Drosophila melanogaster: one gene and its partners. The gene in region 4 interacts genetically with the main gene of each other region. Each region holds a gene or a part of one and is shown on either strand. Other genes may lie near its edges. The genes, in order: Pp2B-14D, zfh1, twi and Mef2.

Region 1 (10,680 bases), on a different chromosome or scaffold from region 4:
TAAGCGTTTCACACACAGACACAACAATTTACAAGACGTTTATGCATTTCGATTCAATGAAAAATCAAGAATACGAATAATACAAATATTATAAACAATAATTACAATAATGGATTACAGCAAGCAAGCTCTTACTATTATTTTTAAAGTAAATGAGAACTTTTTAACAAATTACCGCAACCCGTATACATATGTATAGCATATAACTGAATACTTTTCTCTCCTCCAACGTTCCCACAATAAAAAAAAAAGGAAAAAAGCAAAATTACAAATTAGCGCGCTCTTCTAACATAAAAAAAGCAAATGCAAAAACCAAAGTAAATTTAATTAATATACACATATATGAGAAGAAACCAAAAACCAAAATATATAACATATTACGAGTAAGCAAATAATATATAAAAATACTTTTATACTATATACACGAAGCCTAAGAACTAAACAAAAGCGAAACAAAATTATATTAACGACTACCCCTCTCGCTCTAACCTCTCCATTCTCCTGTTGTCCTGCTCTTCTTTTCTCTCTCTCTCTCTCTCTCTCTCTCTCTATCTCTCTCCGTCTCTCTCGCACTGTGAAACTCCCGACTCGACTTCGACCTTGACCCTTTATCTTTTCTCTCTCTCTATCTCTATGTCTTTCTCTCTGTCGTTTCGGTGACCTCAGAAGAGGACCCAGCAAAAATGCGAAAACCATACCAAAAGCAAAGGAAAATAACACTTTTTATCGGTACATTTTCTACTACACCATATATGAATAGGAAATACAAGAGAAGAAGAGGAAGCGAATATAAAGTTAAAACCAAATTACCAACTACAGCAAACCACAATTTCAATATAAAAACGAATGGGTCCTATTTCGAACTTGACTTTCGGCACCGTTTTTGTAAAATCCCTTGAGTTTTGAAACCATTTCGAAAGCTGCCTCTTAGTATGATATGAAAAACAAAACAATTTTGATTTGAAAAGTCTTTCATAGCACGCGTCTAGGCAGTTTTTTAAGTGGTTTCAAAACCCAGAGAATGATATTTAAAGATAGCCAAGACGTGATAAAAAAATACCCATAAAAACTATACTCAAATTTCAGCCGAAAGTTAAAATTAGAATGGCCGATTACAATCAATTCCACACTCAGTTCGATATCGAATAAATCGCATATTGAACATAAATGTTTTTAGAGTTTTTTTTTTTAAATTTCCGTTAGACTGTTAGTTTATCGATTAGCTTGAACTACTATGTACAATCAAATATTTAAGTCGCTTTAAGTAAGCCATTTTGTTAACCAATTGTTTTTTTTTTTTATAATCGTATATACACTTATTAAATTTAACGAGAATAAAGAGAAAATGGGAAGATTTCTTGTTTTTCGTTTCCACTCATCTCATCCATTGCAATGCGAATGAAAACCTTTTCATCATATGTATGTATGTATGTAATTATATACGTTACCTTAATTTTTTTGATACATGTATTTTTCAACATCTACTTCCTGCCCTCGAATGCTTTAAAAACTTTACACGAAAAAGAAAACAATTTAATATATATTATAAACAAAAAAGAAATGGACAAAGAAAAGCAAAAACAAAAAAAAAACAAGAAAAACCAAGTGAAGAAAAAACCAAAAAACAATTAAAACTTTACCTTTTGGATAAATCAATTTAAATGCATATTTTATATATATTTAAACATTTATTTATATATAACATGTATGATAAATATAAGTTGGAAAAACTTTGTCAAAGCAAAAAGTTTATATACTTATATTAAAGAAAAACAAAAAACAAATGGATGGAAGATGGGAAAGGAAAACCAAAAACCAAATAAATAATATTAAAAATGCAACATAACAAATTAACAAACAAGAAAACATCACATCTAGATAAATCTCTTAAAAATTTTCAATTTTATTATTAAACCGAAACCAAAGTTAATGGATAAACAAATTTATAAACTGTATTGCAAGGGGCAGCTGGCTGGCAAAAATTACATAAAATTTGCGCCGTTGTGACAAAAATTGTACGCAATCCAAGGAAGATAACAAATTAATTTACAAGATAAAGATGATGATAATGGAGATGTAGACGATGGAGAATAAATGAAGGCAACAACAAAATGCAGACAACAAGTTTTAACCTTAAGTGAATGCAAAACAAAATGAAGAAACCCAATGAAAACAAAATGATTATCAATGTTATTAACATAATTAATATTAACAAAAACGAAAAAAAAAGAACAAGCAAAAAAAAAAAACAAAAACAACCAAAAAAGAAATACAAAAACATTAAAAAAAATATACAAGTACCTATCCTGAGAATAAAATGCGCGCACATTTATTATTTCCTCTAAAAGTTCGTTTGAGTCGATTTCGCCACCGGGGAATTTCAGAATAAGCATATACATATTTAATCCCGGGAAGCATATCCACCAGTAGAAGGCTGGAGAAGTGGTGGACTGAGTGAGTAATGTCCAGAATTTGCTCGAAAATTAAGGAAGAGGTAAGTGTAAGTGGGGCGAAACCGACAGGTGGCCAAGAATTTCAATAATGAGGTTTTTACCTATATTGATAAATTCAGCATCTGGGCTCTCATATTCTCTAATTTTAATTCATTTTATAATGTTTAGTTAACTACGTTTAAAGAATAATTAAGATGAACGGCTTAATTGATAGCTTAAGCTTTTTTAAAATAAAATGTTTTCCAGTTGACATTTTGAATATGTACCAAGTCCAATTGGATATAATTATCAAAGTTTAGCACCTTGTGGTACATTGCTGTGCGGAATTTGTTCAGATTTTAATTTTGCGCCACCATCTACATCTTTAAAGTGAATATATTGTTAGAAAGGAGATAAAAGTAAGCGTATTCATTTAGAATATTAAATATACAGAGAAAGATATAATTTTGCACGTACCTTACTCGACTACTTCCATGACTTCCATTCCAGGTGCGAGTCTCGACTAGAGTACACATTCCAGCGGCCGTGTAGTAAGTTTGAGCTTTTGAGCCACGGCCACACTGCAGAAAATTCCATTAAAAAAAGCGAGAAAAAAAACGTAGCGAAAGAGAGAAATTACGACGTCTGCAGGGCCGAAGCGAAAAAAGTAGCAAATACTGAAACAGAGTGACTATGATTGTTGTTAAGTGAAAGCAGCACTTTTGGAAAACGGCTAGGCCAGCGGCGCAGGCCACGGAAGAAAGCAGCGGAGTCAGCGTTCCAAAATCAAAGCAAAGCCAGCGGAAAGTAAAGGAAAGCGAATCAAAGCTGGAAGGCGATAAAGCGGCTCACCAGGCACTCCAACAACAACAGCAACAATAGCAACAACAGTAGGAGCAGCAGCAACAACCACACAGCAGCAGCAGCAGCAGCCAGGGAAAGTACCAGAGTGTGAGTGAGTGAGTGAGCGAGTGTGCGTGTGCGTGTGTGTGGGTAGTGGAAACAGAACTGAGCCGTGAGAGAGCGAGAGCGGGAGAGCGAGAGCGGGAGAGCGAGCTAGTGGAAGTGGGAGCGGGAGAGGAGCAGTCCGATTCCGAATCCCGGAATAGAAACCAGGAAAAAGGAAACGGGAAGCAGTAGCCGTAGAAGCAGAGCCAAAAACCGAAACAGAAACAGAAGTCTCAACCATGTCTTCGAATAACCAGAGCAGCAGCGTTGCCCAGGCGGCAACAAGTGCCCGCACCGTCAGTGCCGGATCGGCGGAAGCCACAGATGCCAATAGTACCGCCTCGAACAACAACAATAATAGCAGCAGTACCGCTGCAGCGGGCAACAACAGCGACAACAGCAGTCCCACCACTGGAACGGGCACAGGAGCGAGCACTGGAAAGCTGCACGGCGGCCACACGGCAGTAAACACCAAGGAACGGGTGGTGGACAGCGTTCCCTTCCCGCCCAGCCACAAGCTGACCTTGGCGGAGGTGTTCGACCAACGCACCGGCAAGCCCAACCATGAGCTGCTCAAGCAGCACTTCATTCTTGAGGGCAGAATCGAGGAGGCGCCCGCCCTGAAAATCATCCAGGACGGAGCCGCCCTGCTGCGTCAGGAGAAGACGATGATCGATATTGAGGCGCCGGTGACGGTGTGCGGTGATATCCACGGCCAGTTCTACGACCTGATGAAGCTGTTCGAAGTGGGCGGCTCGCCCGCGAGCACCAAGTATCTGTTCCTGGGCGACTACGTCGATCGGGGCTACTTCAGCATCGAGTGCGTCCTGTATTTGTGGTCGCTAAAGATCACCTATCCGCAGACGCTGTTCCTGCTGCGCGGCAACCACGAGTGCCGGCACTTAACCGAGTACTTCACCTTCAAGCAGGAGTGCAAGATCAAGTACTCGGAGCGCGTGTACGACGCCTGCATGGACGCATTCGACTGCCTGCCGCTGGCGGCGCTAATGAACCAGCAGTTCCTCTGCGTGCACGGCGGTCTGTCGCCGGAGATACACGAGCTGGAGGACATCCGGCGGCTCGACCGCTTCAAGGAGCCGCCCGCCTTTGGCCCCATGTGCGACCTGCTGTGGTCCGATCCCCTGGAGGACTTTGGCAACGAGAAGAACTCGGACTTCTACACGCACAACTCCGTGCGCGGATGCTCGTACTTCTACAGCTACGCCGCCTGCTGCGACTTCCTGCAGAACAACAACCTGCTGTCGATCATCCGGGCGCACGAGGCGCAGGACGCCGGCTACCGCATGTACCGCAAAAGCCAGACCACCGGCTTCCCCTCGCTGATCACCATCTTCTCGGCGCCCAACTATCTCGACGTGTACAACAACAAGGCGGCGGTGCTGAAGTACGAGAACAACGTGATGAACATCCGGCAATTCAACTGCTCGCCGCACCCGTACTGGCTGCCCAACTTCATGGACGTGTTCACCTGGTCGCTACCCTTCGTGGGCGAGAAGGTCACCGAGATGTTGGTGAACGTGCTGAACATCTGCTCCGACGACGAGCTCATGACCGAGGAGAGCGAGGAGCCGCTCTCCGACGACGAGGCGGCGCTGCGCAAGGAGGTGATACGCAACAAGATCCGTGCCATTGGCAAGATGGCGCGCGTCTTCTCCGTGCTGCGCGAGGAGTCCGAGTCGGTGCTGCAGCTGAAGGGCCTGACGCCCACGGGCGCCCTGCCCCTCGGCGCCCTCTCCGGCGGCAAGCAGTCGCTCAAGAACGCCATGCAGGGCTTCTCGCCCAACCACAAGATTACCTCGTTCGCGGAGGCCAAGGGCCTGGATGCCGTCAACGAACGGATGCCGCCGCGGCGGGATCAGCCGCCCACGCCCAGCGAGGATCCGAATCAGCACAGTCAGCAGGGCGGCAAAAATGGGGCTGGACATGGGTAAGCTGTGCCATCTAGTGCGGCTGCAGGACGAGGATGCAGATGCAGATGCGGCACGGTGGAGTCTGGCGAGGTCTGAATTGGTCTGAAGGAGGGGCTGAGTGGAGCGGAGCGGAGGCAACACAAAGAACACCAACCGAACGGAACCTTAATTAAACTTAATGTGGCAGAGCAACAACTTAAATACTAAAACCAATTCTAATTCTAAGTAATTGTCATAACCCCCTGCATTTCGTATGTGATCCCGCACCAGCTCCATGCCCATGTCTATGTCCATGGCCCAGAGCCTCCAAACCGACGGCACGGAGCAGAGATTTGTTTTTACGCAGGCGCGCGCACATTGGATATTAAAATTATGTGTGGCATACTTTGGCGCGCCGGCCCCCAAAACGGAAAATTCCCTTTCGCGATAGAAGAAAACCAACCCATAACGTAACCCATAACCTAGCTTAAGTTGTAATGTATAAACTATAAACTGAAATGGGCAAATTTTAAAATGGAAAATGAACAAAACGGAAAGAGCTAATTGAAATCCCTCCCCCTGCGATAATGCGATAATTTAAGATGAAAAACCCCAGCAGAATCCCCATAATCCCCAGAGGCAAGAAACACTAATCCAATTGAAGAGATATGGGAAACAAAATCCAGCGCTAATCTGTTCCAAACATTTAGCAGCGGCAAAAAAGAAGCGTACATATATGTATACATATGATTATTTAGAAATATCGAGGCGCAGTGCCGAGATGCAACCGAAAGTGTAATGAAATTTGAAATGAGCAAAGGTCATTTTTTGTAATAATCGTAATCCTTGAACTCTAGAAATGTAATCTTGCATAGAAGAAACGAATGAAACAAGCAAACAAATTCGAAACCATTTGCAATATGTGCCGCAATAGTCCATAAATGTTCCTTATACGAATTAAACATTGAAAGTGAAATCAGAGTTTATTTTTTTTTTTTTAAATATATACTTAAATATATGTATATGTATTATTGTTGCATAATCTAACTTTTGACTTAATATGTTACATTTTACGTGTACGACTGTGTGTGTATAACTAACTATTTGCGTTTTATCAGTAGCTTGGCGAACAAAAAACAAAAAACAAAAAAAAACCAACCAAATGGCAAAAGCAAAAGCAAAGAAAAAGCAGCAAAAATCCATAAGAGATCACACAAGATGATAATCGTTGTTTGAGGATCACAGTCTAGCTAATTAATAAATTGATGAATAGGATCGATCGATTTCCATTGATGTGAATGCATTTTGAACACTGAAAGAACGGATCGTTTACCATTTAAATAGCAAATCAAATATTTAACTATTAAATTACTGTGTAAACCTAATAACGTATAATATATTTCTGCGTGTAAATTGAACTAAACGATTAATTAATTAACTAATTTAGCGAATCGATTTTTGTTGAGAGAGAAAGAGCGCTAGCACACACACACACACAAACACAAAACTTATTTTCCTTGACTTAGTATGAGCTAATTGCAATGAGATTAAGCGAATGAGATGTATTTAAGTAAGTATAAGGCATGGCACACACATGAGAAACGGATGAGTTTCGGCGTTTCAGATCAATTCAATGATAATGATGGCAATCAAGTTCTCAATTTGCGCCTACACCTCTTCCCAAAAACCGATGATATCAGCTTCTCCTTTATCACTAATCACAACCACTATCAATGCGAAATCAAAAGCTATAAGATATACCACATACATACTCACGCAAGAAATGCCTTCATCGAGATCATATTATCCACGAACCAAGAATATTAACGCTGTACTTTTGCTTCGACTCTTCAACCACCAATAATTGCATTGAACTCTAATCTAAATATTTATACAGATATATATATATATTATATACCGAGTTGGCATTGGAAAACAGTTAGTTTTAGTGATCTATGCACGTATCGTAACAATACCAAGATTAATTAAATCGTAGCTAAAAGAAACAAATCAAGGATGAGGCGGCAGTCGCAGAGTTTCCCTCTTAGCTTTTATAAAAAAAAAAAAGATGGAGAAATGGAAACAACTTACTCAACTAATTGAGAGATACACCATATTTATATAGATATATATATAGCGTTTTTTTTTTTTGTTAATCCTCCACCACAACTATATAATTATTGAAAGTTGATGAAAGCTGTTGGGCCGTTTAAGTTTCAGAGTTTCTGTTCTATATGTGGTTAAAATTGTTAATGTTGTTACACCGCAAATGCATACTTAGTTAGTTAGTCGAGTGAAATGGGAGTTCCCCCAAATCACATTTAATTGCAATAGTCTCGAGTATTGAACGCCAAGAACACCAATTCCATAGAATGATTGTATACACTCAGAAAATCAATCGGCATTTATGTTCGAAAATCGCCGCAAATATTTTCAACAAGTATGGGTTTTTACGGATTTAAAATAATGAAATTGAAAACTAAATTCCATATTGTTAGGCTATAAACAAATGTTTCTATTGATGGACAACATTTCAGGTATAATTTTTGAAAAACAACAAATATTTATTTCAATTGTTAATACCAAAATACGCATAGGTCAACAATTAAGTTTTAATTTTTTTTTTTTAATATAGTTTAATTATCAAAGAACTATACATTTTAAGCCATTAAACGTAGGCAATATTCAGATAATTTTCTGAAATAAATTAATTGTAAATTTTGGATTCTCTTAGGGCGATTTGCATTCCGAGTGTATCAAGAGCCATGGTAAATAATAAAGCTAAGAAGTATTAATAATTCTACACTATGTATGACTAACAATACATTTGCTTAGTTCCCTCGATAAAGAAAGTACATAACTATTGCATGAGGCATAGGCAAAACTTCCTGGCACATAGTAAAAGTAAATAATTGAATAGAACGGCTGAGGAGGAGATGAGTAGATTTTGATAATATGTACGTCAAGACCATGCCAACATACTTATGGGAACTATTTAAAAAGCATTAAAACGTTCAATATAACACATAATACCCAGACAAAAGCAGAATCAAAAAATGCGGGAACGAGACGGCTGCATGGTATATACATACATATATAAGACATTTCGCCTCTTAAAGCAATTATAAAGATAACAAATGAGTAACGTTTATTATATTATTAAATTATACATACATATACATACTATATAAACGGAATAAAATAAATCAGCAACAAACTTTCCATTTTATGGCGTTCGATCACTTAACTTTTTATCCTTGGGAGCAGTATTGTCAAGTTATCATTTTTCTTCTTAATTGCTTAAATTACAATTCTTTAAATACATGCATGTATTCAATGATGGCGCCAAATTTTGAACCTGTTTTAAGTCTTAATTCAAGAATATTTTTCCAAGTATGAGAGTGAACGAGAGGCAAGAGCGCAAACGAAAAATACCAGAAATCAATGTGAGTATTTTGAAATTTCAGCAATTGCCGAATTGGTTTTTCAAATAGATGTGATTAGTTGTTAAATTGCCAAATCTTTAATCCAATAATTTAATTAATAAAGTCTTAATTGAATTGAAATTGTTTTGTGTAAATCCTGTGCAAGTAACATATATTACTAATAAACTTGTATTTTTTAATCTTTTTTAAATTGTTAAAAGTGGCACACAGACTAGTAAACTTAATTAACAAATTTGTAAAATAATAAAAAAATATAATTGGATCTAGTATCTAAACGGTTCTGGTATTTATTTTCGGTGTTTTGTACGCTTCAGTCCAACGCCGATAGTATCGAATATGCATCTATTTTTATTCAACTCTGGGGAGTAACGAGGGAGTTTTTGTACAGCAGTATAACTAAATTATAAGTATAAATAGTCGATAGCGGCAAACTGTTTCGGCCTAAATTTAATTGCGAGTCTAAATTAAGAGTTCAATTCCCAATAACCGCCAAACGAAGCGGCGATAAACGTAAGCGATAGAGTGGCGAAGAGAGCAAGGTTCCCGCCCGCGTGTTGTGAGAGTGTGCGAGTGGAAGAGGAAAGTGTATGATTAAGTACAATCGCTCTCCGGCGGTCCAAATACAAAAAAAGCCGAAAAGGAATCAATTAACAGTAGTGCTCAACAAACGGCCCAGGAAGTCAACAGGAAAGGCGATTGATGTGCAATATTTTGTTTGGTTTTATCGAGCAGAGGCGCTGCGAGCTGTGATTTCAAACCGAATCACAACCAACACCCAAAAAGGCAACCTGGTCGCGTCATCAGTGGAAGTGGAAAGGCAGTTGCCACAGCAGAGGCAGAAGCAACGGGAGTAGCAGAAGCAGTGGTTTTCCAGAGATCCGGTTTTGAGTCCTTCAAGCATGGACAGCAAGGGTCGAAATGTTATCGTCTGTGATAACGGCACTGGGGTAAGATAACGGGAAAGTCACCACCCGCACCGCCCACATCACCCACAAGCGGTGAAAACAGAGCGCACACACCCACACCATCACCAACGACTGGTGTGTGACACACATTTCGAGTGTTGTTGGCTGCGCTTCTTTCGTTTTCTTCTTCTTGTGGACTAAGCAGCGCTTCTGCTGCTGCTGCTTATTTCACTGCTTGCTGGCCAGCGGGCGTTGACGTCGCGGTTAGTCAAGCAGTTGCAGCAGTTGCAATTACGCGATTGCCTCTTCCTCTCCTTTATATTCCGCTTCCCCACTCTTCTTCTTGCTCTCCGCTTGACTAATCAGTGGATTACTCACGATTCCAGCGTTACTCAGTATCTCCCACACCTACATATTTGTCGAAAGAGCGACACTGGCACACACCAACACTTCCATAAAATTTCCGACAATCAGTTCTTATCGCAGGCCCAGAATTTTTGTATTGTGATAACGGTCCGATTTCGATAAGCGTCCGATAAACCACAACAGTAAAAGCGCAAGCAAATGCTGCACCGAGAAAAATGATTTAGCTGGTCCTAAACCAAATAATCAAAACTAATTCAAAAATTTTTGTTTTGTGATAACGGTCCGAATTCGATAAGTCACAGCAGTAAAAACGCAAGGAAATGCTGCACCGGGAAAAATGATATAGCTGGTCTTAAACAAAATGATTAAAAATAATTATTTATTATTATTATGTGCAATTTTTAAGTACCTGTTGATACAAAAGCATTTTAAATTATCATATTACGTGTTAGGGCTTAACTCAAATAATAATATATGTACATATGTCGGCTGTCATATTATTTTAATGTGTTTCCACATACACCATAATATAAATATATGTATTTATGACATCTCCATTTATTTTTCAGTTCGTTAAGTGCGGATATGCCGGCAGCAATTTCCCCACCCACATTTTTCCCTCGATGGTGGGACGACCCATGATTCGGGCGGTCAACAAAATCGGCGATATCGA
Region 2 (7,468 bases), on a different chromosome or scaffold from region 4:
TCGTCGAGTTTCAGACGTGCGAATATTTATGGCCGCAATCGAGTGGAGAACGAACCCGTCTCGAACCGAATCGAATCGAATCGTATTGGAATTCCAGGAGGGTCCAAGTCCGATCTCAAGTGGCAATCGGCTTTGGGCACAGCCACACATGTGAGCGGCATGTGGAGTTGTCCCGATAATCGCTCTAAATTTGGAATGCCCTTTCGAGGGCTTGCCTACCTAGAGATCCGTGCACTGAGAACAATTGCCAGCGAAAGATACAAAATATATATGAAGGGGTTTCTGCCCTGCACTCCACTCCTTCCAAAAAAAAAAAACGGACTTTAAAGTGACGGTTTCTTTCAGTGTCGCACCTTTGCCCTGGTCTACTCTCCACTTTCGAATGGGCACAAAGGTGGCCACGTTGTGCCCCTTCAAGTGGCAAATGCAAAGGTGCAGATTCGGAGCCAGACGATCGCCTATAAATAGAGTTCTCCTTTCTGCCCTTTCTGCTTTATTTGTTTGTTCAGCAAGCTGATGCTGCGTGCTGCTTGCTGCTTGCTGCTTGCTGCCTGCTGCATGTTGCACGTTGCACGTTGCTAGTTGCTAGTTGCTGCTGCCACGTTTATTTTATTTGTAGCATTTTGCTTTGCTGAGTGTGAAATTTTAATAGCCAAGCGAGCCGTGTCCGCGTTCGTGTCCCTGTCCTTTTTTCCCTGCATCTGCACAAATGTACATATTGTACATATGTACATATATAGTAGGTCTATCTGGAGGGTAGGGAAACATATGTGTCCCGGGGCGAACTATTTCTGCGATTTACCTTGAAAAAATATGCAGAAACGCGTGTGATGTCGTGGTGTGGGCGTTCTACGCTCTGAAATTGGAGTTGCAATGCGTTGGCGAGCCGAAAGCAATTAGAGAAATATGCCGCAGAGGTGTTCAAAGCAGGGGAAATCGTGAAGGAAATATGCCCGGCCATCCATGAGATACTTTGGCATCTTGTTCCTCAAAGGGAGCGAAATAGTTACTTTAATTAGTTTGAATAATATTCGAAAAATCTTAATAACGCACAAACTAAATTCGCCATTTTAAAGAGATCTCTGAAATACTTTAACGATTACATTTGTCAGAATAGCAATAGTTATGAGTTATTTAAAAATTGGCATATTAATTTACATATATATAAATACCAAACTGAATACCAAAAACCGAAGCTTCAGCCAGTTGAAACGTACTTCATTAATTCAGCAAGTACAACCAAAGTTGGGCTTAACTTGGCTAATTGATATTCACTTGGTCCTCTCGACTCGTGTATAAATTGTACGCGCTCGAAAAAAAAACAACTCCGAAATAAAGCCCATCGAGTGCAATTGAAACTTTTTCAGTTGGCGCTACCACAATAGAGCTGTTGACTATTTTTGTTTATTTAAAACTTTTAACAATTATTGTGCAATTGTGCGAAATTTATTGCAATTGAACGCCAATCAGAAGGGAAGTGCCCTTCTGAACCCTCTCCACTCGCCAATTTCATGGCTTTCCCTGGGTTTTCCACTCCGGTTTTTCTCAATGCCAGCACCCGTTAACCAAAATCGTTTACATGTTAAATTGTGCCTGCTCACTCCTTTTTTTTTAGAGCCTCCTCTTTGGCGCTGCAATTTTGCCTGCCCTTTGGCAACACCTTTTTTAAGGGGGTGTTGCAAGGGTTGGGTGGCAGGGGGCACCCTTTTGTTTGCGCCGATTTTTTGGCACTTTTTTTTCGGGGGATAGCACGGGTAGCAATTGTTGTCTCGTGGAGAGCGGCGGGCATTAAATAAATAAGAAAAAATATATTCGCAAGGAGGCGGGCTGCATTCCGTGCAATTTTCACTTTACAACTGTTTCAAAGTTATCTTTGTTTCAATTGTGTGCACGACGGCGGCAAAAAGCGAGCAGCAAAAAATATTGGCAAACAATTTACTTTTTGGCCAAAATGCGAAATAAAAGTAAAATGTGGCAAATAATTTGCCCAAAGCTGCGGCAGGTTGAACACGGAATAAAGGGAATCTGCAGCAGGATATCAAAGAGGACTTTCCCCTCATTGATTTATTGTCCTTTTGTGCTGGTTGCAAATGGGGAGCTTCCTTTTTTTTTTTTGCTCTGTAGCCTGGCTCAATTGCAATTTAAAGACACAGTCTGTTTATTTTGGGCAAAGTCGGGCCGAAGTCTCCAACTCCACTTGAGATAGGCATCGGCAAAATTAATCATCTTTGCATGCCAGTTGCCAGATAGTTTGTGGGGCCAAGTTTGTTTAATTTCGATTACCAGCTGACGGGGCAGAGTCCTGTGCCCGGTGAAAGATGCAGGATGAGCCGGCCAGGAGTTATAAATGGCAGCACCGACAGCACCAGCATATAAAACTGACATCCACTGACAGCAGCCAAAATGATTAATTAGACAGGAGGCAATCTTGTTGCTGGTGGAACACACACACTAGGTAGGTATTCCCAATCGAAGATGCAAATGTCAGATAAATGTTTAATTTCTGCTCAGGGCTTCGATGGGCGAAAATGGGAATGGAAATTGGCGCTGATTTATACATAGAGTATATTTAGAGTATATTTAGCTAAGGGGCGTAGTCGAAGGTGATAACAGGCGACAGGTTTTCGCCAGGGCGAAATCTTTGATTTACGGCATTTTGGAGCCGTTTCGAAATGCGACACAACACACGCCGAGCAGCCGGAAAATTAGTACAACTTGACTAGCTGGCTGGCTGACTAGCTGGCTGGCTGGCTGGCGTTTTCCCCCGGCTTTTCCAAAAGCCCAGCGAACAGCATTTCGTATGTAGCCGGCGATTAATATCCATCGCAGTCGCAGCTGCCCAGCGCCATCAAGCAGCTCGGTTTGCCCAGGGAAGAGACGGAAAACAAGCGGAAAGTATATGGATCGAAGATATGTGGGCCAACCTGTGCGCAGCCATCTCTGATCGATTAGCCAAACTATCGTGTTCGAGGGCTTTTAGTTCCGCCCACAGAGAACGGAGCTGCTTAAATAGCCATAAATTATAATTTATGGCAGCGGTGTTGCCACCGTTTCAACCGTTTCCACCGAACATGTGCAATTAATCCGTCTCTTTAGCTGGCTTATCAATTGTCAGAGTCGGAGGAGTGGAGCACCGAACGAATCGTGGGCGTTTCCCCAGCATTGCGCCATCCCCAATGCTCCCCAACTAAGCGTTTTCAATTAATTTCGGCTCTTTCTCACACCTTCCATTTCAACCGATGAGCTCTGCCCACTGACAGTTTTATGCTTTGTTTACACTCGATAAACAGAGTGGCAAGCGACCAGCAATATGGCCATAAAACAGGTTCTTAAATGGAGGTGCGGCATCGCGGTAATGGTGTTGGCCAAGTTAGCTACCTGTCGTCTGCTGTTTCAGCCTGCGCATGCGGTTTTCCTGGTCAGGGGTAGCTCTACCTGGTTCTCGGTGGGTGGAGATTACTGGCAAGGCGGCGGTGCTGTTTCGGCGGTGCCAACAAATCAAATTGAGATGTGGCTGCAATTGGTCGGCCACTGGGAGGAACAGAGAGGTGGCTATGCTATGCAATGCAGGGAATAATGCCATTATTCAAGATCGACTGGCCGACTTTCATGTGTGAAGAGCGTGATATGACCAATAGATATAAGAAATCGAATGATCTGCCATGTTAAACCGTACTAATTTTAACTATATTGTAGTTTTAGCTCATGGAAAAGGACTTTCGTAGCTGAAAACCAGCGAATGATTATAGTTGAACAACAATAAGTTCTTTAAGTTCTCAAAGCGTATAGAAGTTGCACAAAGTGACCCAGTTTTCTCTCAGTGTGCTGATCGGGCAAACTTTTTCGGTTTCGGGCTCGCTCTCTCCTTTTTGAGAACCGGAGCCCGTTCTCTGCGTAGGAGTAGGTAATGGTAATTCGAGACCTGCCTCGATCCTTACTCGCCGTTTATGAGTTTGTTTTTCTATAGCTACTCATTCTTATGATCCCCTGAAGGTGGAGACCACACATATACCCAAGATGGCGGATGGTTTCTGGGAAACTGCTAAGCTTGCATGTGGGGATCTTCAAATCGAAGCTACCGAGTCTTGGCGCGCGAATCACTTGAACACAAAGTTCTATGGCACGGCTGATTGGTGATAATGGAGGCGGTTTGCGGATGAATCACCCGAGATCTGTGCTCCAGATCCGCGTTCTGATCACTTACACTGCATGGCGAAGGGGGAGGTGGAGGGCATGCTCTGCTGAATGATGGTATCCTCTTGGCCGAAACGTGAAGACGACGGCGCCAGACAGGACAACATTTGGAATGCTTGTTGCAACACTTGCTCTACTTTGATGCGGATAGTTTGTTTGGCTAGTTGGCTAGTTGGCTAGTGGGTTCTTCTGGGCTCGGCGTTATTTCTTTCTTATAGAGCACACACGTGTTGTGGCGGCCATTTGGGCAAGGGCCTTGGGTTTTTTATCTTTCGAACATGGGAAACACTGGGATTTTTCTTCGCGATGCGCCGCTGCGAGTGTCGCGTTTGTTTTTATTTTGTGGGCGATTTCACTGATCTGCGTTCTATATCTGCGTGATTCTACTGTGTGCTGCTCAGAGTTTTCTCTGTGGGTGAGCGACGCGTGTGCTGCCGTCGCGACGTCTACGATGCAACTGAATTCAGAGTTCTAAGTTTCGAAGCATCAAGCCAAATCCGAGAACGAAACAGAGACCGACGTCCTCTACCGAATCCGTCGGATGCGAACTGTGAGTTTCGGGCGAGGGCGATACGGCGGGGTTCTACGTTTCCACGGAGAGCGAGTGAGAGAGGGCGGCGCTGTTTGTGTGTGTGCTCCGTGCCACCACCAGCATAATATAACGGTGTAACGGTTCACCGTTCCGATGTACGAGGTGATTCGGGCGGGGGTAGTGTGGTTGGTGCTCTAATGCTCTGATGGGTGGTGTGTTGGTGGTGGTGCCAGAGAAGCGAGAGCGCTTCATTCTTAACATAACAGCTCTCTGTTATCGCATATCGTAAATGTTAAGCGCTGTTAGTGCCGCTCCTCTCGGTTATCCCGTGACGTAAGCACTACGTAAGGGTGGCCTCTTTTGTTCATCGTGCTGCTCGTAAACATATGGCCGTTATGCGGGATTTGACTATATTAACATTTGCACAAAATTTCGTTTTTATTGATAAAGCGACTTATGAGTCTTTCCATTAACTTTTCCGCCAACCGTCAAATTTATTTCGGTGTTATTTTATTAATACTCTGTGCTGCTGGGTATCAATATTAAAGTGTAGAGCTTAAGTGATTTACATATTTAATTGTTATAATTAGGAAATATTTTTAATAAACAGTTTAATACTCAACAATAAATAGGAATTATCTGAAATTCCCAGAATTGAACAGCAATAAGATAGTTTAATTATATACTTGTATTATAATTTTTTAAGTCTTTCCGGTAAATCAAGTTTATGACAAAATATTCCCCGTGTGGGAATTACACACATATGTATGCATATCGCTATGATTAATTCCCCACTCAAGAAAGCTTTCGATCGTTTTTCTTTCGGGTAAATTTGGCGGTGCGAGATAAAGGGGATTTCTTTTTTCCAGGGAATCCCTTAACCCTTTCCTGGCCACATCGCTGCGTTAACGGACAAAATCATTTGCACTTGCGATTGCAAAATTTCCTCTGCTGCGATTTCCGAGTAAGAAATACCGAAATCGTTCCGCGATTGCCACACATTAATGACATCGTTTGCTGATGGGCGAGTTCTTGAGAATGTCCATCAATGGACACGTCTACAAAATGACAGAAGAACAGAGATCCAAGAGATCCCGGACAACCGAAGAATTCTAACGAAGAGAGCAGAATGCGAGTGGCTTGATTCTTTGGCTCCATCAACAAGTTTTGGCGGCCCCTTGGGATGTTGCTTTTTTTGTACTTTATATTTTGCTGCTCAAAGAAACATATAGATTTGAAAACTAAAAGTATAAATGGATAAAAAGATATTTATGGTAACAGAAATTGTGTTATCGAAAAAAAAAGCGAAACATGCTCTCTTTGATAAAAAGCAAAAACAAAAGGCGGACTCGACAACATAATAAACAATTTGTACATTAATTTTTAATGCGGTTAACATGTGTTCCCCCTTCTCCCTCACACACCCATACACTCACAAACGCGGTCGCTACGTGTGTGTAAGTGTAAAATAGGTGGAGCTTCATAATTTTCTCACTTGAAACGTACTGCCATGAGCGGGAAAGAGAGCGCCGGCGGTGCAAGCGAGAGAGAGGGAGAGAGAGATAGCCGCCGGAGAGGCCGCTTTTTTTTTGTTGCCTCGCATTCATTTTGTATGTTAATTAGTTGCCGTTCACTCGCGTGCGCGTGTGTTGAGTATCTGTGTGAGGTGGCGTGGGTGTTTAATGAGAAGCGAGCAAGGTGCGCACATTGGTCGTCCATCGGTTGCACCTGTTGCGCTCGTTCGATTGGCGGAAAAGCCCCAGGGAAAATTGGAGGCTGATGAAGTGGGAAAATGACTCAATAAGATATATGCGAGAATGAATCAGAATAGATATTTATGTCTGGACTTGAAAATAATTCATCTCTTGCAATGAGCTCGTACCTCCCCGAGTTTTGTAGATCTTAATCCGCCTTCATAAGTATATATTTTTAATCAGGATCAGGACGATTGCTGTTTCCCAGCACTTCCTGTTCCTGTTCCCCCAGGAGTTGCCCTCATTAACCACTTAATTGACACACATCCGAATCGAAATGCATCCGAGTTCAATGGCGAGTACCTTCAATTACCACGTCCCGCATTCGCACTCAAGGATTTTCTTCCCAGGCTCTCGAAGGCAACACCCACTGTAGGTTCTTTATTTAAATTGGATTTGTCGATCATTTTCCGATTGCTACTAGCTTGGGCTTCCACGACTTTGGAAATTCTCACCCACCGCTGCTGGTACCCACATAAAATAGAGTTAGCTAAGTACTTTCGATGGTTCCGCATTGACGTCATCGACGGAGGAATCAATTAATTTCACTTTACAATCGTCGGATCGACGAGAAGATGAAGCAAAGGACTCTGGGAAAAGGCAATCCTTTTCGGGGTGTTTGCTGTAAATCTCAGATCTCCAGATGGGTCATCGCATTCCCACACTCCTTGGGATTGAATTGCATGCATGTTTCTCGTTTTTCCACAATTTTTAATTAGCAGTAAACTTTGCGCGGCCCCGAAAAACAAAAGAACCCGAAACCAATTCAATTCGAAACCGAACCGAAAAGTAATGACAGCGTAAATACTTTTCAGAATGTGGTGGTTCTATATGGCATAGAAAGTGGTGTGGTGTGGTGGTGGTGGTGGTGGTGCTGCTGGTGCTGGCCTCGGTGGTGCAGAGTGATGCACATTTTTGGGGTCGCCACAAACATCGGACTCTCGGCATCGGAATCGAAATCTCAAGTGTCCTCTGTTCTGCGGCCGCC
Region 3 (7,494 bases), about 13 Mb from region 4:
GCTTTTTAATTGCACTGAAAACAAAACGCTAAACACTTGTTGGCCGCCTGGATGGCTAGATGGCTGGATGGTTGGATGCCTGATGGCTGGCTGCCTTCCAGCTAGTTGTCGCGTGGCAAGTGGCGGGGTGTCAACCAAACTCTGCAAACAGAAAAGGCCCTGCCGCCGAGCAATTTGTGTTGCAGTTGCCGCCGACGATGTTGCCACTTTGATTGTGCACCATAACTGCGAGGCAGCTTCTATTGTGGAGCTTTTCGTTCCTTTTTTTTTTATGTTTGCCAGCACTGCTGAAGTTTTGCTTTGATCGCATTGTAACATTTTGCGACAGTTTTAGATTGTAATGCGCTCCATGGGAGAAATGGGAATAAGAACAACTCTGAATTGAATCCGAGATTGCAAGTATGACTGGTGCAGTACACAAATTGATAACGACTTCAAAAGAAGTCAGAAAATGTGGAACTCCAGAAGAAAGCAGAACAAATCGAATACTACACAAAACTATATGAAATAAAATAAAGTTGCCAGTAAACAATAGTGCAATAGAGCGGTATATATATCATGACAAAAATCAAATTCAAATTGAACAATGTCTATAAAATGATTTTTTGGCAAACAATAGAGTTTTAAAGATATTTATTAAATCAAATGGCTTTGGGGAGCGGACATGGCTGACATTTATAAAATGTATAACTGCATGTTTTTTGGAACTTGTAATGCCATCGATGGCATTACTAGGCGTTTGATCGACCCGAAATGATTGCCACATTTAATTACCCCGTTCGATCAGATAATGCAGTTAATTTTCAATTTTCCCTTTTTTTTTTGCCCGCACTGAGTTCGATTTATTGTGCGCGTCGTGGGGACAACATGTTTAATTAACGAACACAATGAAGGAGAGTCGCAACAACAGGAGTTTGTCACCGACTTTCGGTGAAATTTCTGACTCTCTGGTGACATTTGAAAAGTTTAAAATAATATAATTTTCGACGCTATATGGCAAACTAACAAGTTCGACCCGGAAGCTCAGCGATGGGCGCTGGCAACTGAGCGATGTGGGTATTTTCGGGGCGTTTGTCTTAGCTAACTTTCCGCCCGGGAAAGGAGAAACTTTTTCGGCTGCACTGTTGCACCCACCCACACACACACACCCATACACACTCTTACTCACACACACGAAGATCTATTGTAAAATATGTAAGAAAGTTTCCTTGGCCTGGGTGGGAAAACGCTGCGTTTTCGGGAAAGCAGCAGCAGCATCGACGTTGTCTTTGGGGAAATTAAACATTTTCTATTTGAAAACTTTGCCGTGTGTGGGGGGCGGGGGGTGTAACGGCATTTGAAGCGGTGGATTTTCCAAAGGTTCAAGAGCAACAGTTGCCTTTTGAACTGTTTCGGGTCGGTCACACTTTGGCACTGCGCTGGATTCCCTTTGTTCCACCCAACAATTGCGGAAGTCATAATTTCTCAGCCGGCCAAGTTTCTGGTTTTTTGACAAATTTAGCTGCAAATTGTCGGCAAAACTTTAGTTCCAGCTTAAAACTGGAATGGGTCTCCAGTCCCGTGCCTTCGGATCCAAATGTCAAGCGGCTTGCTGTCATAGGTGTTGCATATTTAATGCGCCGCCGCCGATGGCAACACACGCGGCACAGCAGCGCTGAGGAGCAGCTGCATCCCCAGCACGGCGATTCGGACAAGTGCACCCAGAGTGCATGCAAATATTTTTGTCAACGATTGTTTTGCCGGCTCCCTCGATTCCGAGTGGCGAGCTGTGACTGCGGGGGCGGGCGGGAAAAGTCCGGGAAAAGCGGGTCAGGGAAAAGGGAGCGAGGACGAGGACAGTGGTAACCCATGTTTTTGTTGTTGCCAACGGTTTGAGTAATTGTCGCTGGTGTGAAAATTGGCAACGATGCCATCGAGCTGGAAAAGGATTTACTGGGTTATGTATGAGCCAAAGGCTGATTGAGATGGAGGAGCAGCTGGATCGAGCTGGAAATGGCCATCGATGGACGTCTATGGCGTTAGCGATGTTGCCAAAACTGAAATATTCATTAGGCCAGCAAAAAAAACCAATTGAGGTCATTTGAAAAGTGGCCTTGCTTAGCAAATCTGTTGAATATTATAAAATGGTGAGAAAGGCACTTGCTTTTAACATAATTAATCCTTTTTTTTCAAGCATAACAGTTTAACAAAAGATCATGAATAGTACGCGAATATATCCCATTAACTAAATTAATTAAAGCCTCGTATAAAGCGAGCAAGCTTTCCTGATTTTGCGTAAATAAAATCAATTAAATAGAGCTAAAAAAAGCACACCCAAACAATATTTGACAAAAGAAAACGTAGATCCAGGGGCAAATTGAAAACACGATTCAGCCCGCCGAAAAAACCCAATAAAATGGTAATAAAAAACCCAGCAACCAAAAATGATTTTCACATTGATAAAAATTAAATGCGATTCGGGGCGAAAGCAATGCGATGTGTTGCATCTGCTGGGACATTATCAAATAATTCAGTTGTAATCCATTTTAATCCGCCTGCCTGGCTGCGAAACCGACCCACTTGACATGGCGAATCATCAAAATGTTTGTTTACTTGCCCCATGCCCCATGCCCCTTGCCCCTCGCCAGCTCTCTCCTGCCACTTTCCTCCATGAAAGTATTTATTTCGACATTTTGCTAAACATTGCCCAGATTTAAATCTGCATTCATGTAAAATTGCATAAATACATGCAAATATCGCTTGATGGAAATGTCCAGCTATATTTCAGTCACCCACGTTTTTTTTACTCTGCAGGAATTATTCAAATATTTAAGCGGCTTAGTGTAATGGCTGGTGAGTTTTGTCTCAAATCGGAGGACGGGTACAAAGCCGCTCTAAGCGAAAAGAATCGATGCGGCTGCTTAAATTATACTTTATAATTTGGGCATATATGTGGATTACCCCAATTGGCAATTGAACGTATAATAGTTCGGTTTTATATTCAATCGATTGCGCACAGGGCGTATTTATCATTCAAAATGTTTCAAATGCCAATATGGATTGTAATACATTGTAATACATATTCTTCTTACATTACAAAATAGATTCTTCGAAAGGTAGATAAGAAGAGTATTCCAAAGCTATTCCGTTTAATTAACAAAGAATCCCATAAAAAGAGGAGCACGCCCTTCACGAAAGTCAGTTAAAGAGAATGTTAGCCCCACTAATCCTCCTGCAGATTGTGGCTCTGCCTTGGTTGGCTCTCGGAGATCAGCGGATCATAAACGGAAACACTGTCAACATTAAGGATGCACCGTGGTATGCCTCCATCATAGTCAATTCGAAGCTCAAGTGCGGTGGTGCCATTATCTCGAAGAACTACATCCTGACTGCCGCCAAGTGTGTGGATGGCTACAGCGCCAGGAGCATACAAGTCAGGTTGGGAACCAGCAGCTGCGGCACTAGTGGATCAATTGCTGGAATCTGTAAGGTCAAAGTTCATAGCCAGTACTCCAGCTGGCGCTTTGACAATAACTTGGCTCTCTTGAAAACCTGCGAGCTACTCAACACCACCGATGAAATAAAGCCAATTGAGAGGGCCGACAAAGTGCCGGATGATAATTCTCGAGCCAATGTGACTGGCTGTGGTGGCAGATCAGGCAATTTCCTTGACCTTATCTTAGACTTAGAGGATTAGCAGCGGAATAGAAGAGAAGTGCTTCCAGCTGCCTGTCCAATTGCACGGCACTCAAGTGCGGATCCTTAGCCAAAAACAGTGCGCCGCCGACTGGAAAGTCATACCATTTTACTTACTCAAGGGAATCTCAGACCTGACCATCTGCACCAAGTCGCCGGGCAAGGGAGCCTGCTCCACAGACAGGGGTTCGCCTCTGGTCATCGACAACAAGCTCGTGGGCATCCTCTCCAGAGCGGGCTGCTCCATTAAGCCCGATGTCTATGCAAATATCCTGGGGCACACGAACTGGCTGGACTCGAATACGAAGGATTAATATCTTACTTGCTGTGAATAGTTTAATGATAATATTACCTTGCCTTCTGTAGATCTATATTTGAATTTGTAAAGCACAGAATAAAGAACATTGCACAATGGCTTAAAGTGAGAAAAATTTTAACACACCGTAAAGTAAAACAAATTAATTTGCTATGCTTTGTGCCAATACTATAAAATTTAAACAGCCTGCTATATGCACATTTATTTGGCATCATGCTTCTGCGATCTCTACCAATTTTCCTTGCACTCTTTGTCCTTTCCAAAAGTGACACGGGTGCAGGTGAAGATTCGGAAGAGGACGACGAAAACGACTGCAACCGGACGACTCTTGGTGGTCATCCCGTGAACATAACCACAGCGCCATGGATTGCTTCCATTTCGATCAAACAAAAGGCCAAGTGCGACGGAGCGATATACAAACTGAGTCACATTGTGACAGCCGGGAAATGTGTGGATGGATTCCTGAACAAGGTGATCCGTGTACGAGTGGGTAGCACTACGCGCAGCGATGGAGTCATCGAAGTAGCAGTCTGCAACATTACAGTTCACGAAAAGTTCACCGGCCAGACAGTATTTCACAATGTGGCCATATTAAAGTTGTGCGAACCGCTCGAGGCCTCCAAAACGATCCAGCCAATTCAGTTGGCCAACCAGCTTCCGTCTAATGGGGCAAAGGTCACGGCCAACGGGTGGCCCTCCTTCAGGTGGTGGGCAATGTATTGGAAGAAGTGTCTGGATGATGAAGCCTACAAGCTGCAGAAGGCCGAGGTGAAGCTACTTGGCCCTAGCCAGTGCACAGATCTGTGGGCGCGAAACAATTGGTCCAAAAAGAATTTTACAGATGACTTGTTCTGCACCGAGAAGTTCGCTAAGGAAGCCTGCTCTTTAGCGATGGGATCACCTGTGGTCCACAATGGCAAACTGGTCGGCATTATAACGAAAGGCGGCTGTTCGGAGTATCCAGAAGTCTATATCAATCTTATAAAGTACAAGGACTGGCTGCATAATCATACAAAGTAAACTTAAGCGTTCTCCCAATTAATTGTTAAAAAATACTTTGCCTTCGAGCTATGACTATGTGCAGATTAGTGCAAGTAATACGCAATACTTCCTATTTTGATAGAGCTTCGAAGTAAAGCCATCACTCAATTTGAGGTATGACTTTGCAGATAAGGAGCTCTAGCCTTGAAAACGACTTAACTTTTCCTATAAAAAGAGTCGCACATGCAGCTCTAAAAATCAGTTGTTTATAATGATTTGGAGTGTGTTCTTATTTCTGTTGGCTGCTCTTTTACGGCCGGTTCGTGGTGATCTGGATGCCCAAAGCCGCATCATTGGAGGTTATGATGTGGATATTGAAGATGCCCCGTACCAGGCGGAAGTAATAATAGATGGCACAGCAATATGCAGTGGGGCGATCATCACATCAGACACCATCATCACAGCAGCTTCGTGTGTCCAGTCCTACGGTTCAATTGAAGTACGCGTGGGCACCAGTTCCCGCGATTATGATGGAACTGGATTCCTGCTCGAAGTCTGTGAAATAATTAATCACCCGCAGTACAATTGCTGGCGTTTCGATAACAATCTGGCACTGTTGAAGTTGTGCGATCCGCTCAAGACCTCCGAAGCTATTCAGCCCATCAGCATAGCAGAGGATGAACCGGACGATGGTTCGTGGTGCACTGTCTCCGGCTGGGGATCCACCAGTTGGTGGGGCAGCTGGTGGGACAGGTGCTTCGGCAGTCTGCCGGACTATCTGCAGATGGCATGGGTCAGCGTCTACAATCGGGAGCAGTGCGCCGCGGATCGCGGTGTTTGGTTCGGACTCTGGGACAATGGCATCTCGTACCTTACCCTCTGCACTCATAATGGCGCCGGAGGATGCTCCTACGATACGGGAGCTCCCTTGGTGATAGATGGACAACTCGTGGGCATTCTATCCGAAGGCGGCTGCACCACCAAACCAGATGTCTACGCCAATGTACCTTGGTTCACAGGTTGGATTGCCGAGAACACCGAAGATGAGGATACAACCGCTTCGACAAGTACTTCTAGTGATAGTAGTACCACTGTGGCTAGCACTACAACTGCTACTGTACCGAGCACTGTACCTAGTTCTGAACCTAGCACAGAACCTGTTGCAGTACCTAGTACTGAACCTTCCACCAGTACCGTACCCAGTACCATATCTAGTACCTTACCTAGTACAGTCTCTAGTACCTTACCTAGTGCAGTCTCTAGTACCTTACCTAGTACAGTCTCTAGTACCTTACCTAGTGCAGTCTCTAGTACCTTACCTAGTACCTTATCTAGTACTACATCTAGTACTTTACCTAGTACAGTATCTAGTACCTTACCTAGTACCTTAGCCAGTACTGTATCTACTACCTTATCTAGTACTGTATCTAGTACCTTACCTAGGATTGAAGAAATTACTGTACCAAGTACTGTAGCCAGTACGGTGCCTAGTACTGTGCAAAGTGCTGAGCCGAGTTCTTTACCTAGTACTGAACAGGTTACCATACCAAGTACTGTACCTAGTACTGTGACGAGCACTATAAAGAGTACTGAACCGAGTACTGAAGCCAGTACTGTACCTACTACTGTACCCAGTACTGTGACGAGTACTATAGCGAGTACTGAACCCAGCACTGTACCCAATACTGTGACGAGTACTATAGCGAGTACTGAAGCCAGTACTGTACCTACTACTGAACCCAGTACTGTGACGAGTACTATAGCGAGTACTGAACCCAGTAGTGCGGCATCTAGTACAGTACCTGGTAATGCCCCAAGTACTTTAGCCAGTGCAATACCTAGTACTCCCTTTACTACGTTGAGTCCTTCGCCTAGCATAATAACTACGATCATGACGGCAACTGAACCAATATCTACTGAAAGTCCTGATACCGAGGGATAATAAAGAAGGTCTATTATAATAATATAATTAACACTCCTTAATAAAAGAAACTGTGACATCAGCTTTCATGTCGAGCTTAGCTTGTTTTGCCCTCGTGCGTTTTCGGTTCTTTCTGTCACCGAAACCACAATCCTTGGACTGGACTCCGAGTGTCTAAGCCAGTGTCTATGGAAATGTCACCTAAAACAGCCCTTGGACATTTGCATTATTCATGCTGGTCAAGTCAAACAGAAGCAGAATGGAAGTACCTAAGCGCGGTATGACAAAACCGAAATACCCTTTAACAAAAAATTAGGATTACATTTTCCAGGAACTATACAGTTGGCAGTTGGAGATGGTCAAAAAATACAGAAGTAAATAACCTTGAGTTGCTTCGGATAGGATTAGAACCAAATGAGCTCGATAAAATTTCCAGAACTTCTCGTGCTTAAGTTAATTAAAGTTTATTTTTTGGTCGGCCAGCAAAAAGTCAGCGACAAATCGAGGGAGAAAAAGTTGCAGACTTTCTGTGGTGGCACCTCGTGATGAAGAGTCCCCTCAGGCTGACACCATTTATAAAGCCGCCTGGCAGCTGGCTGCA
Region 4 (7,674 bases):
TCACGTCGTTCGCGGGGAATACATAGTATAGTAATGGGCATACACTGGTGTTTGTTTAGTCAAGCGGCACTTCAAGTGGTGCAGGTGTGGGCCTCTGCGAAAACAATCGAGAATGGCAGCAGAAATATTTGACTAATTGCGGCTAAAAAGTTAAGAGAAATGGGCGAAGAGACCTACGTAGACTAATCACCGCAACGGAATGTGGCGAGAAAACAAAGGATGTGCGGAATCATCCGTGGCCCGGGGACAAAAGAACTTAACACGGTTTTCATTGCAACAATCTACCATTTGCGGTTGCTGCATTTCACTGGGTCAACGGCAAAGGCGGCACTTGAGCAGGATGCCAGCAGGACGAATGGAATGAAGGAAGAAAGGAAGGCAGGAAGGTAGGAAGGATGTGCCGAGTCTGTTCCATTGGTGGATGTGTGTCAAGACATTTGTCTTGTGGCCGGGCAATTAAAACGAAGCAAACTGCCGCCACACGTTTGCCAGCTTCACCATTTAATTGGCCCAAAGACTGCGACGGCATCATTAGGCAAATGGCCAAGAACAAATCTCAAGAACGTGGGTGTTTTGCCCAGCTCCTCTGATTTGCAGTTTCTCTCAATTTCTCTGTTGGACCGGACTGGGTGGGAAGCCTTCTGCTTAGCAACTTTTGCGCTTTCCCTAATTGTTTGGACCAACAAAGGCGGGGACATTATCGATTTGATTTAGTGAATCACGCTCTGCGGCTTTTTCTCCGATGAGCAGGCATTAAAAGGCGAAAACTTGTTGCTCGCCTTGATTGCGCTCAATTAGCATTTGTTGCGGCCAAATTTATGCAAATGTTAAACTTTTCCGTATTTTGGAGGAATGAACCCCGTACCGATTCAAAAACCAGTTGCGATCGCAATGAGATGAGCCGATCTGAATGCAATCTCTCACCGTCTGGAGCTTTCAGCCTCAATTAGAGCGACAGAGATCGCGAACGAGAGACCTTTCATAAATTCCGTTTTTATGGCTGCTGACCGGCCAAATTTCAAGTTTAAAAAACTCCGAATTTATCACCTCAATTTCAAATAATAACCATTCCGTGGGTTTATACGCACGTTGGCCTGACCAGTGAGTGTTCTAGATATATATTTGTTAATTTTTCTTAATTCACTAGCTCTGCTCTTTTCGGCCTGTCTTGACTTCCTTGGTCGCAGCTCACTTTCACTTTTCATCAACCAGATCAGATCCGTCAATGTCCCCGACTTTTGTTATTGTTGTTAATGTGCCGCAGTTAACGCATTCCTGGGACCCCGGTTATAAATCTTGACTTAATTAAAGACACGCGCGCGCGTTTTAAGACGCGATGAAAACGACTCATTGCGTACTGCCAATGAGGCGGAACTTTTTTTTGTAGTCTTCGGGGGCGGTCGGAAGTTGAGTTTAGAACTGTAAATTACGAGCAAAGATGCTGGGGATAGCCATCAATACCAATTGGGGACGAAGAGATGAGGATAGGATTGCGTTTGAAGAATAGATTTTAAAAACTGACGAGTTGAGAAACTAAAATGAACTTGTCATAAAATCTACATTTCAATTCAAACTACCTCATATCTTATTAACATTTACATCTATTTTTAGTATATTATTTATATATTATAAAATATTATCCACAACTTACACACACTTTGTGAATACGACGCTCGTGGTAAATGCTAAAGGCAAATGATAAATGCTTTTGAGATAAAATGTGCCTGTTTGAAGCAAGTGAAATATCGGCAAACTTCGATTTCCAATATTTTTGCAAGCAATCGCATTGGCTCCGCGATATCTGGCTCTCTTCCTGCACCGCGTTTATCAACAATTTCGATTGCAGAAATGCCAGCAAAAGCAAAAGAATCCAAGGTTTTTGTTTTTCGCCCCGAAACACGCGTCTCATGTTAAGGTAGTCGAACAAATTTGAGTTCTCGGGCCCCGAGTCACCTAGAAGTACACCTAGAGCACTTCTATCTTATCGCCAGCACCTACACAGCCGCAAAAGCGGGCGGAGTGTGGGGGAGGGAGCTAAACCAAAACACAGGCGCAAACAGAAAGAAATCGTTATAATAATAATAATTATTATTATTTTTATTTTTATATACAATATATGTGGGGGAGCGCGGCGGCAATAACCATAATTATCACAGACACTCGAGAGCCGCAAACACGGCAAATGGCAAAGGAACATTTATTTTTTTAATAACTACACCAACACATCGACCAGATTGTGCTTCATTTGGCTTGTCAGTGAGCGTGGGCACCTTCACATGCGCACGTGTGATAAGAAAGACTCTCGCTCTCGATGGCAGATAGTGGCCGCAAAAAAAAAAAAACACGAGCAAATAAAACAAATTTTGATTTCGAATTTTTTATCAAGCACCGAAAACGCCAACAACAAACGTAACTCAACTATTTTTCGTTGAAAATTTGCCAACAAATTATTTTGACCTGATAAGATGTCGTTTGTGGGTTTTCCTTCATGGATTGTATTCTTTATTTTACTTGCAGTTTTTCAGAATCGTGTGTCATTTTTGAATTTCAAAACTAATTGAAAGGCATCCAAAAAAAAAAAACAGTTAAAACATTTATTTTTTCGCTTAACTTATGAAGCTTTAGGTATTGGAAATAACTAAATTGTTATAGAATGAGATAAATAATAATGAAATAATAAAGAAAATAAATAAATAATATTATAATTTCTCTATTGATGGAACACTTAAAATACAAAAAAGAAAATAAATAAATAATATTATAATTTCTCTATTGATGGAACACTTAAAATACAAACGCGACCCAAACGTGACTACACCAAATAGTGTTAAAGATCTCGGAGGTTAATGATGGTCGTGATGATGGTCCGAACGTGAACGTGATCGGAGGTGGGGTCCCGTTATCTAGGCTCTGCAATGCCGAATGACCGTAATCGTTTATCGGCGATCGCCGTGGCTAAGTCCACGGCAAATCTGCGGTGATTATCGCCTTCGAATGGCTTTGTTTGTTATTTGAACCCACTGCTCCCTGGATCGAAACGAAATTCCCCTACTCCCTTCCCACGCGACCCCCCTTATGATCCTGCGTAGGTGTCAAAGTGCATTGCACGCATGTCCAGCTGCCTGAGGCGAGATAAGAGAAAATATAATTCTCTGTGCATTTGCTGCTGGCTGAAACAAAGTGCAGACAATTATCAGCAAATTCGCCAATCAGCCAGCCAGCCAGCCAGCCAGTCAATCAGTCAGTTAGTCGGTTGGTCGGTCGGTCGGCCATAAAAACTACATGCAAAAGAACTTGATAGCAGGGAAATGGATTTGAACTTCGCCGGAGGAGTACGGTTCTCGCGGGCCCTCAATATTGATACGAAAATCGCTTATCAGTGGAACGTATATAGTATTTGTGTGTGCGTGTTCGCCCGTCCGAGTGTATGGCAGCTACTCTCAGCATTAAATCGCAAGAAAAGAAATTGAAACATCGAATGATATCAATTGAAAGGGAACTGTTTGAACTGGAATCAAGACAGCGAGGCACAATTCGAAAACCCGGCCGATATCTCTTTTTTTTTTCTTCGGAATCCCAACGTTTGGCTCAGCGATGACGTCAGTGTGCATGGGTAACTTGCTTATTTGGTTCCCGACATGCCGGCTGCCAGTGTTTTTGTAATTGTAAATTATATATAATCAAATTGCCCTATCGGCATATGAAAGGAGGGGTTTACAGCCCATCGATGATCTGTAAATAATTACTAAGCCTTTGGGCGGAATAATAGCTCAATGAGCAAAGGTGGATATGATAACCAAAATTAGGTTTTATAATTCATAATTTATAATTAATTTAACAATGTGTCTCAAAAGTATGACTAACCGAAAATCACTTATAATGTAATGAGGCATTCAATTGGATTTTATGACGCTCATAAATATAAGTCAAATGGTTATCACAAACAGGAAAAATTATTCTTAATACAAGAATGAAAATCTTTCTACCCATTTCGCAAAGGTACTTTGGTTTTAAAAACTAGTTTTCAAACCAAAAACATTCCTCATTGCAGTAGATAAACTTACATGAATCGCTTTTTAGCTGAGCTTCCGTTTTCTCGAAAAAATGTTCTCAAAAATACACTACTCAATAGAAACCGACGAGTTTTGAACTTTTCTGGGGATGTCAGGTCGCTGGCGAGGTGTTTGCACAAATGTTTCCGAGCACACACACGAAAATCTTTGCAATTGAGATGCAAATTGAATTATTGTTTGAATTCTGGCTTTGTTTACGCCGCTCGTTCGATAAACATCGGGGCGAAATGCAGTCAGTGATATGTTTGCTGTTGTGTTTGTCGTGTGCTTTAGCTTTTTGTAAATATAAACAAAGTCCGGGCAGGCGGGGGCGGGGATGTCGCGGCCGCGGTTGGCGCAAATAAAAGTTAAAAATAAAAACTTATAATTGTCCGACGGCTGTTGTTATTTTTATTATTGTTGCCATTTATTTTTGGAAATAGACGTTGAATTTGTTTATATGGAGTAAAAATAAATTATTGCGCGTAGTGCGAGAGCAGCGGGCCAGCATAATTTCTCGCGGCGTTCGATATAGGATCTCTATCTGTTGTGAATCGCTAGCGGAATCGGATCGTTGGATCGTTGGCTCGGAATGAAAATATCGAACTCGCAAACGGATCGCAAACTGATCTGCCGAAATCGAATCGAATCGAAATCTCAAAATCTCGAAATCCCGAAAACCGAAAAACTGAAGAAGCGGCGCTGCGGACGCGTACAAACGTACTGACGGATATGCCGTCGTTGACGTCGTAACGCCAAGTACGCACACACAGATACGCCCGCACACAGCTGCACTGCGCCAGGCTCTCTCGCAGTCGCACACTAACACACACACGCACAGCCAGCAACGAACACGTATACGTAGGCTGGCGGTGAGGATTTTCGTTTCGTGGTGAACTCACTCACACGCGCACACCTTCTAACGGTGCCTTTTGTTTTTGCCTTTTTGTGTAACAGAATATCGCACACATACATTGCCGGGCAATCGGAGAGCGGGAGAGACGGAGAGAGTGCGCAGCCGCTGACTTTGAGTTCCTACTCACAACGAAAGCAAGAGTGAGCGAGAGGTGGCGGGGGGTTAGAGTGTGGGGCTGGTGGGGGTGAGTGAGTAATTCGGTTTGTGAGTGAGTGCGTGCGGGAGTCGAACGAGAAACATATGGTTTTTGTTTGTGCCCCAGCCAGACACACACACACGCACACTCACCCACACACTTGATCAATCAGCAACAGTTACAGTTAGTTCCCTCGCCGAGCTTGTTGTCCCGCTCTGGCAACCTCCCATAAATGTTAATTATCCCCCACTTCACCACCCCCATTAACTACACCCCTGCTAAACATCGCTTTGGTTTCCGTTTTCCTTTGTATCCGTATCTCCCTGCCCTGCCAGGACCTCTCCCCTCCCGCTTTGCCCACTATCTGGTTTTTTTTTTGTGTGTATTTTATTTATTTGTCCTTGCCACTGGATCCTCTCTATAAACACCCACCCACCATTAGTTTTCCCCTTCGACGCAGCTTAATAAAAACTTTGTTGACCTGCGTTTGGCAGTAGAAAAAAAGGTAAGTATATACTCGATACCCTGTTACAAAAGATGGGGCATACTTACTGGCTGTGGTTACGCCTTTTAGAAACGCGAAGTATGATATAACTATCATTAAAATTAATTTCATTTTTAATAGGTTATATTAACTTTGGAATTGTGACAGCTGTTTAGCTTCTTAGCTCCGATGTGAACGTAAACTAGAATGTTGAACTTGATTCAGAAAAAATAAAGCGTAAATCCTTTTTTCATTTGTTACCTAATTTTGTGCGATACAACATACAACATATCCTGTAATTCGTCTGCTGGCGGGTACACAAAACAAACAGGAAGGAATCGGAAGGGACAAAGAGTAGGACCCGTAGGATCCTAGGGTGTGCGGCAACCAACGATTCATTGTTTCTGCTCGATTGATGATTGCCTATTCAGACAGAGGTAAAGTAGTTGTATGGCTGAAGTTGGGGCTTAATTTGTGAATCGGACCGCCAGCCAGCCAAGTGGGATCCAAAGCCCTGTGACCCAGACCCTGTCTATTGTTGCGTTAAGCGAGATATTATTTACCTTAAACACGCTCTATTATGCAGGTTATGTAGGCGAAAAGATAATAAAGTAGGGATACATGTACCCCAACTTGATCCCAATAGAGTTTATTACAAAAATCGACTTTTATAAAAGCAGGAAAATTGGGAACGTTGTATGTGATTAGTCCACATCTGGGAGGCAAATAAAAGCTGTGGCTACTTTCCAGCCATCTATAGTTCTAACCCATATAGGAAATGATTTTGCGTCTATTTATACATAATAAAAATATTTCCAATAGCGAGAATTTTAGTGATTAGCCATTACCATATGGCATTTAAATCAATAAGAAAATATATTAAAAGATTTTCTTGTTTACTGTAAGTTGCGATTTAATAACTGGAGTGATAGTTAAAACACAGACAAAAGGACATTAAGGGAGGTGAAATCTTAAGGAATGCCCATATTGCAGTTGCAGTTAAGTGGACGCAACTTTAACGTGACTTTCCGAGTAATATGCGAATGCCAGATGCCGCAGATATTGCTCCGCCCCGTCGAGTGAATGGATTCTGTAAAAATCACGCATAACCGATACCAAGTGCAGCGCGACCAAGTTACCCGTTTTATGGCCCTCGCCTCTCGGCGGCGCCACAATGTTGCATTTTGAGAACCGAACCCAGCAGCAAACGATCCATGTGTGTATATCCGAAGATCCCTTTCTCACTTCCACTCCCATTACCATTCCCATTTCCATTTCCATTTCCATTCTGATTCCCGTTTGCAGTGTCCTTGTGACTTTTAACGCTTCCACTGGGTGCGACAACTGCCAACTGCAAACAGTCGTCGACAGTCTTAATTCAATAAACGCCGCCCGGCGATTTGCGCATGACCATGTACCCCGATGCTGTGCGCCGTACGGTTGATGCTGCATGTTGCATGCACTCAACACATGTGCAACATGCGGCATCTGCGGCAGTAGCAGCAGCAGCAGCATCGGCCTCAATGTGCGTTGAGTCCGACTTTAACTGCTTGGCAGGGGTTTCTTCAGGGGGATCTTTGAGTACCCCAAGCCAAGACAAGCCAAACCACGTGAAACTCATCTCCACGCCACTGCCCTCCGCCGATGATGTTTTTGTAAACGCTGCGTAGGTAATTTCATAAATCTCATTCAAATTGCCCTTCGTGCCATGCCCATCTTGCAGATACCCAGCAGTAGAACAGCTCCAAGTGTATCCGGAGGGTTGTAAGCATACGGAATTACAGGAAAAACATCTTTTTAATTGCTCGTCGAGATTTCGAAATTGAAAAATGTCTGCGGTGGTATCAATTATGCAAATGCTGGGCCCCGAAAAAAAAAGCAATTGAAGTTCAGTTCAGCTCAAGTGATTTCGACTCGGAAAAGTCTCCGGGGAGCTGGTCGACTTTCTGCCAAAAGAGAGGGGTAGGTGTCGCCATTAGCATTGCCTAATTACATTTCAATTGCTCGACTTAAACGGGCTTAGGTCTCCGACTTGCTCCCTAATTCATAAAAATCTCAATCAATTTCCCCGGGCATTGAGTGCAAT

What was found.
Region 1: of Mef2 (region 4) and Pp2B-14D, changing one suppresses a phenotype caused by changing the other (phenotypic suppression), as found in Drosophila melanogaster (one study listed by BioGRID).
Region 2: of Mef2 (region 4) and zfh1, changing one suppresses a phenotype caused by changing the other (phenotypic suppression), as found in Drosophila melanogaster (one study listed by BioGRID).
Region 3: of Mef2 (region 4) and twi, changing one enhances a phenotype caused by changing the other (phenotypic enhancement), as found in Drosophila melanogaster (one study listed by BioGRID).

The regions. Positions count from the first base shown.
Region 1 is NC_004354.4:16,552,347-16,563,026, reverse strand, and holds Pp2B-14D (protein phosphatase 2B at 14D), read left to right. Parts: upstream 1-3,010; 5' UTR 3,011-3,619; coding exon 3,620-5,332; 3' UTR 5,333-8,400; downstream 8,401-10,680. Other genes in the region: Arp2 (Actin-related protein 2), read left to right, coding at 9,636-9,683, 10,577-10,680. UniProt on the Drosophila melanogaster protein: Calcium-dependent, calmodulin-stimulated protein phosphatase. This subunit may have a role in the calmodulin activation of calcineurin.
Region 2 is NT_033777.3:30,763,117-30,770,584, reverse strand, and holds the start of zfh1 (Zn finger homeodomain 1), read right to left. Parts: upstream 4,660-7,468; 5' UTR 4,302-4,659; coding exon 4,205-4,301; intron 1-4,204. UniProt on the Drosophila melanogaster protein: Involved in the development of the embryonic central nervous system, embryonic mesoderm and adult musculature.
Region 3 is NT_033778.4:22,982,025-22,989,518, reverse strand, and holds the start of twi (twist), read right to left. Parts: upstream 4,146-7,494; 5' UTR 4,028-4,145; exon of another isoform or gene 3,990-4,027; coding exon of another isoform or gene 3,191-3,989; exon of another isoform or gene 2,970-3,190; intron 1-2,969. Other genes in the region: CG32833 (uncharacterized protein), read left to right, coding at 4,205-5,011; CG32834 (uncharacterized protein), read left to right, coding at 5,244-6,914. UniProt on the Drosophila melanogaster protein: Involved in the establishment and dorsoventral patterning of germ layers in the embryo.
Region 4 is NT_033778.4:9,924,836-9,932,509, forward strand, and holds the start of Mef2 (myocyte enhancer factor 2), read right to left. Parts: upstream 4,781-7,674; 5' UTR 4,065-4,780; intron 2,035-4,064; 5' UTR 1,652-2,034; intron 1-1,651. UniProt on the Drosophila melanogaster protein: Transcription factor that could be a key player in early mesoderm differentiation and may be required for subsequent cell fate specifications within the somatic and visceral/heart mesodermal layers.